Lonchura striata: one gene and its partner. The main gene of each other region encodes a partner of the protein of the gene in region 2 in a complex. Links are inferred from orthologs where the notes say so. Each region holds a gene or a part of one and is shown on either strand. Other genes may lie near its edges.

Region 1 (3,742 bases), on a different chromosome or scaffold from region 2:
TGGGCTGCCCGGGGAGCTCCGCACTCCCCGTTCCCTCCGGGAAGCGGGAGGTGACCGGCACCGGGTGCCCGGCGGGGGTGAGGGAGGGGAGGGGAGGGGGCGACACCGGGGCTCCCCGCCGTGAGCACCGGGGGGTCCCGCCGTGAGCACCGGGGGGTCCTGCCGGGCACCGGGCCGTTCAGGGTTAACCGGGAGCGGGGGGGGGGGTTGGTCTCCGCAGCCCCCGGTCCCCTCGGCGGGCGGGAGGTGACGGGCACCGGGTGCGCCCCGGGACGGGGGACGGGGACGGCGGCACCGGGGAGCACCGGGGGCTCCCGCCGGTGTGCGGCCCGTTAAGGGTTAACCCGGAGTGGGCTCGGCGGACCGGGGGAGCCCCGCCGACCGCCGAGCCCGCGGCGGGCGGGAGGTGACGGTCACCGAGCTGAAGCGGCGGCGACACCGGAACCCCCACCGGGACTGAGGAGGCCACGGGGCGACACCGGAACGGAGCGGGCGGACCCCGGGACGCCCCCCACGAGCACCGGGTGGCGTCCCGCCGGTGTCCGCCCCGTTAAGGGTTAACGGGGGCGGTTCGGGTGGCCCGGGGGGGCCCCGCGGCGGGCGGGAGATACCGGACACGGCGGGGGGATGGACACGGCGGGGGGGGGGTCCCGCCGCGCACCGGCCCGTTAAGGGTTAACGGGGGGGGATCGGCGGCCCGGGGGGGGCCCGGCGGCCCCCGGCCCCGCCGTGAGCCCTTATAAGGCGGCGGAGCGCGGCGGGCGGGCGGCGGCGGCCCCGGGCCGGGGCTATATATGGGCAAAGGTTCGGCCGGCCCGGTCGCCCGCGGCTCCCGGGGGGGCCGGGCGGGGCGGGGGGGGGTCCGGGCTCCCCCGGCCCTCCCGGCTCCCTCCGGCCCCGCGGGAACGGGGGAACCGGGGCCAGCGGGGATCCCGCGTCCCCAGTGCGGCCGCCGCCTCTTCCCTGAGGGTGTCCCCGCCTTGGGGTGTCCCCAGTGTCCCCTCCTTGGGGTGTCTCCAACGTCACATCCTTGGGGTGTCCCCACTGTCACCTCCTTAGGGTGTCCCCTCCTTGGGGTGTCCCCATTGTCCCTCCTTGGGGTGTCCCCACGTTCCCCGTCTGTGTCCCCGTGCCGGTGTCCCCGTGTCCCCCGCGGTGTCCCCGCACCCTCCGTGGCCTCGGCGCAATGTCCCCCGTGTCCCCTCGTCCCCGTGAGGGTGTCCCCGACATTCTCCGTGCCACCACGTCCCCCTGGCGGAGTCCCCCTGTCCCCCCGACGGTGTCCCCGTGTCCCGTGTCCCCTGTCCCCGTGTCCCCTGTCCCCATGTCCCGTGTCCCCGTGTCCCCATGTCCCGTGTCCCCCCGGCGGTGTCCCCATGTCCCGTGTCCCGTGTCCCCATGTCCCGTGTCCCCCCGGCGATGTCCCCATGTCCCGTGTCCCTGTCCCCGCAGCTGGCCCAGAAGTACGACCCGCAGCACGAGCGGGAGCTCCGTGCCTGGATCGAGGGGACCACGGGGCGCCGGATCGGGGACAACTTCATGGACGGGCTCAAGGACGGCGTCATCCTCTGCGAGTACGACCCCGTGCGACCCCCGGGACCCCGTGCGACCCCCGGGACCCCCACCGGGACCCCGTTCAACCCCCGGGACCCCGCTGGAACCCCCGGGACCCCGTGCGACCCCCGGGACCCCGCTGGGACCCCGGCTGTGTCCCCGGCTCTGTCCCCGCGGGCTGGGACCGGCCCCGGTCCGGAGGGTGAATTTTAACCCATTCCTCACCCGGGCTGACCCCGAGCCTGCTGAGCACAGCCCCCCAACCCCGCCGTGCCTGTCCCCCACACCCCGCTCCTGGCCGGGCTCTGGGGTCACCCAGGGGTCACCCAGGGGTCACCCAGGGGTCACCCCGGGGTCACTCTGGGGTCACCCCCTGACCCCACCCGTGCTCGGCCCCTCCAGGCTCATCAACAAACTGCAGCCGGGCTCGGTGCCCAAGGTGAACGAACCCGTCCAGAACTGGCACAAGGTGAGGGGACCCCCCAAAACCGGGGCTGGGGGCGGCTCTGGGGGGGAGGATCTGACCCCGAACCCCGCCCCGACTCCCCCCGCCCGCAGCTGGAGAACATCGGGAACTTCCTGAGGGCCATCACGCGCTACGGGGTGAAGCCCCACGACATCTTTGAGGCCAACGACCTCTTCGAGAACACCAACCACACCCAGGTCCAGTCCACGCTCATCGCCCTCGCCAGCCAGGTCAGCTCCCGGGGGTCCTGGGGGGGGCCGGGGGTCCGGGGGGCTCCTGGGGGTCCTCGTGTCCCCTCAGAGGACACCGGCCACACGCTGGGGGGGATCCAGAGCGGGGATTTGGGGTCTGGAGAGGAGATTTGGGGTCTGGGGAGGGGGTTTGGGGTCCAAGGAGGGGATTTGGGTCCAGGGAGGGTATTTGGGGTCTGAGAAGGGGATTTGGGGTCTAGAGAGGGGATTTGGGGTCCAAGGAGGGGATTTGGAGTCTGAGGGAAGAATCTGGGGTCCAGGGAGGGTATTTGCAGCCTGGGGAGGGGATTTGGGGTCCAGAAAGGGGATTTGGGGTCCAAGGAGGGGATTTGGGGTCTGGGGAAGGTGTTTGGGGTCCAGAGAGGGGATTTGGGGTCCAAGGAGGGGATTTGGAGTCTGGGGGAAGAATCTGGGGTCCAGGGAGGGGATTTGGGGTGTAGGGAAGGAATTTGGGGTCTGGGGAAGGAATTTGGAGTCCAAGGAGGGGATTTGGGGTCCGGGGAGTGGATTTGGGGTCCGGGGGTCCCCGTGAGGCCCCCCCCCAAGCCCACGGTCTCCGCCAGGCCAAGACAAAGGGGAACAAGGTGGGGCTGGGGGTGAAATACGCCGAGAAGCAGCAGCGGCGCTTCCACCCCGAGAAGCTGCGCGAGGGCAGGAACATCATCGGGCTGCAGGTGACACCCGGGGACGCTGGGGGGACACGGGGGGGGCGTGCTGGGGACAGCTGGTGACACCGTGGCCGTCGCTGTCCCCAGATGGGCACCAACAAGTTCGCCAGCCAGCAGGGCATGACGGCGTACGGGACACGGCGGCACCTGTACGACCCCAAACTGGGCACGGACCAGCCCCTGGACCAGGCCACCATCAGCCTCCAGATGGGCACCAACAAAGGCGCCAGCCAGGTGGGGACACGGGGACACTGCCAGCATGGGGGGACACGGGGACACTGCCACTCCATGGGGACACTGCCAGCATGGGGGACACGGGGACATGGGGACACTGCCACTCCACAGGGACACTGCCAGCATGGGGGGACATGGGGACATGGGGACACTGCCAGCACAGGGGACACTGCCACTCCATGGGGACACTGCCAGCACGGGGGACACGGGGACACTACCACTCCACGGGGACAGTGCCATCCTACAGGGACATTGCCACCATGGGGGGACACTGCCACCCCATGGGGACACTGCCACCCTACAGGGACATTGCCACCATGGGGGGACACTGCCACCGCATGGGGACACAGGGAGAGATGGCACCAGGGGACTTGGATGTCCCGGGTTAGGGGGACAAAGGGAGCGGAGAGCCCGCGGGCAGCGGGGACAGACAGAGCCGGGGACCCTGAGGTGCCACCGGCCCGGCCGGTGGCCCAGGCAGCCCCGGGGACAGCGGAGCAGGGGACAAAGGGGCTCTGAGGGGGGCACAGAGGGACTCTGGGGACAGGGAGGGGACAGACACCCTGCGG
Region 2 (3,742 bases):
GGAACTGTAATTCAAGTGAGGAAAGCTGCAACATTCAGCTGTGGATTCCAAACTCAGAGGAGTTTCATTTTCATGCTTGTGGTTTTGGTTCTCAAAACTTGGATCAGAACTTCCTAGCAGCGTTCTATGGAGAATAAAATGTCAGTTGATATTCAAGTTAACCCTGTGGAGAGAAAATGGGTTGGAAATGTGCGTGGAAGTCTGTGGTACTTGGGGATTTGTTGCTTGTGGCAATGTGATTGCATCCTCATGTGCCAGAACTCCAACATGAAGAGTGCTGCAGGAAGCTGAGTGTTCCTAGCTCACTGATGATATTCCCTGGAAGTGTCCAGGGCCACACTGGGCAGGGTTTGGAGTAACCTGGTCTAGTGGAAGGGAGTGGAACAACATGATCTTTCAGGTCCTTTTCAAGCCAAACCAGTCTGTGCTCAAAGGAGGGGGAGTAGCTCTGAGAAATGGAAATTCCAGATGTTTCTGGGTTAAGATATTAGGTAATGCCTCTGCTTCTGGACTAATGTGATGCTGAGCTCTAAGGGAAGAGGCTTGGTTGGTTGAAGCCAGTGTCACAATGGACACAGGCAGTTCATCCTCTGCTCGTCTGGTGCTTGATCTTCTGTGGTCAGAGGATGATAATCTCTGAGCATGCAAATGGAAGACATTTCTGATCATAGGAGGCCAAAAATGGCTGCTGCTCAAAGGCTATACTTTGTTTTTTATTTTATGCGATTGTTTAGTAGCAGTTTTGCGTGAAACTTGTATAAACATTTCTTTTGTCCCTTGGCCCACCTGTCCACCTCTTCAAAAATTCAGAAATCTGCCAAGAAGTTGTGAAGAAGGAAGCTTTGTTTGCAGTCCAGCTCTGTCCCATCTGCCTCCCACTCCAAGGAGAAACACATGGCCACAGATGCAGGCTCAACCTCAGCTGGCTGATGGCGCTTGATCCGAAGGGTTAATTGGGAACTTCTGATTAAAATAATTAAATAACTCTGCAGTCCTTGGCCGCTCCTCTCTTAAGCGTTCAGCAGATTCGGATGCTAATGCTCGTGGGTGGTTCAGTATTTTGAACCTTTGCCTTCTGGAAAATTACAGTTGGGAGGCCAACAGGTACAAGGCAGCCTGGGAACTGGAGCCTTCATCTGTAACGCAGCCTGGCCCATCGGGGCTTTGGAGCTCAAAGTAGGTCCCTTGGCCACCAGTGGCTCTCCACACGTGCTCATCATGTGCTGGCAGTGGCTCCTCCTCTTGGGCTGGTTGTCCCGGGCGCTGAGGTTTTATCCAGAGCCGGGAGCCAGCGGAGGTGTCCGGGAGGGACGCGCGGCGCACGGGAGGGTCCTGCCTCGCCTCGGGGACAGCGCAGCCCTCGGAGCCTGCAGGGGCTGCCCAGCGGGACACCGGCCTTGGCTTCCCTGCCAGAGGGGACCCAGCCCTGCCGGGGGACGCCCTGCCCAGCCCAGCCCTGGAGACCGACAGAGAGCCCGCCATGGAGGAGAGGGAGCCCCCGCCGAGGTGCGCTGCTGCCCGGGGATGGGGATGGGGACAGGGAATGAGCAGCTGCAGGGGATGGAAGCTGCTCCATCGAGGCACAAGTGAGGAAACCGCTGGGTTCAGTGAGTGTTGAGTTTGCTGTGGGGTGCAGGAACCAGCCCCTGCTGCGCTGAGCCCTCAGCAGATAGCTGGCCACACCAAGTGACATTGGGACTGTTCCGTGCCCTCTTCTTCCCTGGCCATCCTTGTTCCTTGGCCAAGCTCCAGCTGGTGTAATAAACCAAGCTTGCTCTCTTTCCCCATGACTTTGGTTGTCCTGGTCCTTGTGGCGTGTTCCAGCTCTCTCCTGATTGAAATATGCTGGAAAACATTGTGTGCTCATCGGGGCCTCGTCCAGAGGCTGACATCCAGGCTGCCTCCTCCCAGCAGGGCTGGAGCCAGCAAGGATGGACTTCAGGAAGTATCAGCTTCAGCAAGTGCTCCTTGCTTTTAACAGGATTAGGAAGATGCTGTCAGGTCATACTTAGTTTGGAACAAAAAAATGTTCTTTTTCCCCTGACAGTGTGTCTCTAATAGAGTTTCTTTTTCCAGCTGTCTGCAGATGCCTGTCAGTAGGACCTGTCAGTCATGTTTCTTACCTCAGTCAGTGGCTGCTGTGTAAGGGATTGCTGTCAGAGTGAAACTTCCATGCTTTTGACTTGAATTTTCTGTATCTAGCTTGTTCGGTTGCACTGGGCAAATAATTAAAAAAAAAAAAAAAGCAAATGCCCTTTCTAAGGAGAAAAGAACATTGTGCACATTTGCTTTCCTGTACTGAGGTTTTATTGAGGTTAAAGTTACCAAAATGAGTTGCTTTATCTGTTTTCTTAACTGCTGTTGCACCTATGAAATAGTCACTTCAGAATAACTCTGTCACTGATGTGATAAAAATCTATTTATCTGTGGAGTGGCAAATAGTATGAATAGAACGTCATTAACTCGGCCCTCATCTTGCTGTGTGAATTTACACTTCTCTCCCTACTTATTTTTAGAGGAAGGGGAAGCGTGTGCTTGATTAGATGTGCAGTGAGTGATCTCCCCCCTGGGAGTGGAGGGGAGTGTGAGCTGCTGGATGGGGATTTGGGAGACCTGGATTCAGATCTGGGCCCCGACTCTGACCTGCTGCGTGTCCTTGAGAAAGTCACAGTGCTCTGCTGCTCCCTCCTTCCCCTTTTCCCCAGCCTCCATCTTGCCTGTTCAGCCTGGAAATTGGAAGAAAAAAAATCTGCATTTTAAGCGTCAGGAGGAAAAATACTTGGTCTGCGAAAGTGCATTTCTCCTCCTTAATCTAACGGTTCATCAGCCACCCATGTGTGGCAGACAGCAGCCTCCTGGACATGAAAGGTTGCAGCTGAAGGGAAAACAAGATCCTGTGGTAGATAAATGCACTGCACTGATAGTTTATTTTTTAAAGGGTAATCTCTGAAATGGAGCCCCATGTGCATAGCTGAACCCTCCCAGCGCTGTCCCTTAGCAGCAGGTGAGAGGATCCTGGTGTTCAGCACATGGCCTGCCCCACACATCCCAAAATCTCTTCATTTTCCTTTCCCTGGCGAGTGCAAAGAGCTCCTTTCAGATTTGCTAAGCAGAGGCTTTGCAGATGACAGAGCTCTGTCCTCAGCCCCAGCACGGTGATTATTCACCGGGTGAGCTTTTAAATAAAGCACTTCCTCCCCTCTTCAGCTGTTCTAATGGGATTCTTAGGAATCTTTCCTGGCGTCCTCGGGGAGGAAACCTTCTTTTTTTTACTGAATGAGAAACATCAGGTTTGGGTTCAGATTTTCAAGGTGGCTGCACCTGTGAAAATACAGAATGCTCTGTGGGTGTTATCCAAAAAAAACCACATAAAGTCTTGATTAGTCTGTAGGGCCAAATTTTCAGCCAAGTAATCTGGTAAAATTTGGATTTACCAGATTATCTAAGCACTGGATTTTCAGGATAATACAGTGTTTGGTTGCATTTTAAAAATGTTAATTTGCTTGGCCCGATTTATCAGTATTAATGACCCAATTCAATTTAATTCAAACACAGACTTACCTGGTCTTGGGGGTTCTCAGATCTGTTAATTTCTGTTAATTTCTGTTAATTTCTGTTAATCTGTTAATTTCTGTTAATTTCTGTTAATTTCTGTTAATTTCTGTTAATTTCTGTTAATTTCTGTTAATTTCTGTATGATTCTGCTTATGCCATTAAGCAGTTCTTTGTGTTTGCTTCTTTG

What was found. Proteins that work in one complex are often made in the same cells at the same time.
Region 1: ITPR1 (region 2) and CNN1 share a complex: the UniProt entries of both Homo sapiens proteins name them as parts of the cGMP kinase signaling complex. The link is inferred for Lonchura striata from reciprocal best matches to the Homo sapiens genes ITPR1 and CNN1.

What each region holds. Positions count from the first base shown.
Region 1 is NC_134623.1:1,330,512-1,334,253, reverse strand, and holds the start of CNN1 (calponin-1), read left to right. Parts: upstream 1-1,493; 5' UTR 1,494-1,539; coding exon 1,540-1,574; intron 1,575-1,956; coding exon 1,957-2,023; intron 2,024-2,112; coding exon 2,113-2,250; intron 2,251-2,834; coding exon 2,835-2,945; intron 2,946-3,026; coding exon 3,027-3,173; intron 3,174-3,742. UniProt on the Homo sapiens protein: Thin filament-associated protein that is implicated in the regulation and modulation of smooth muscle contraction. It is capable of binding to actin, calmodulin and tropomyosin. The interaction of calponin with actin inhibits the actomyosin Mg-ATPase activity.
Region 2 is NC_134614.1:22,879,624-22,883,365, forward strand, and holds the start of ITPR1 (inositol 1,4,5-trisphosphate-gated calcium channel ITPR1), read left to right. Parts: upstream 1-1,259; 5' UTR 1,260-1,480; coding exon 1,481-1,506; intron 1,507-3,742. UniProt on the Homo sapiens protein: Inositol 1,4,5-trisphosphate-gated calcium channel that, upon inositol 1,4,5-trisphosphate binding, mediates calcium release from the endoplasmic reticulum (ER).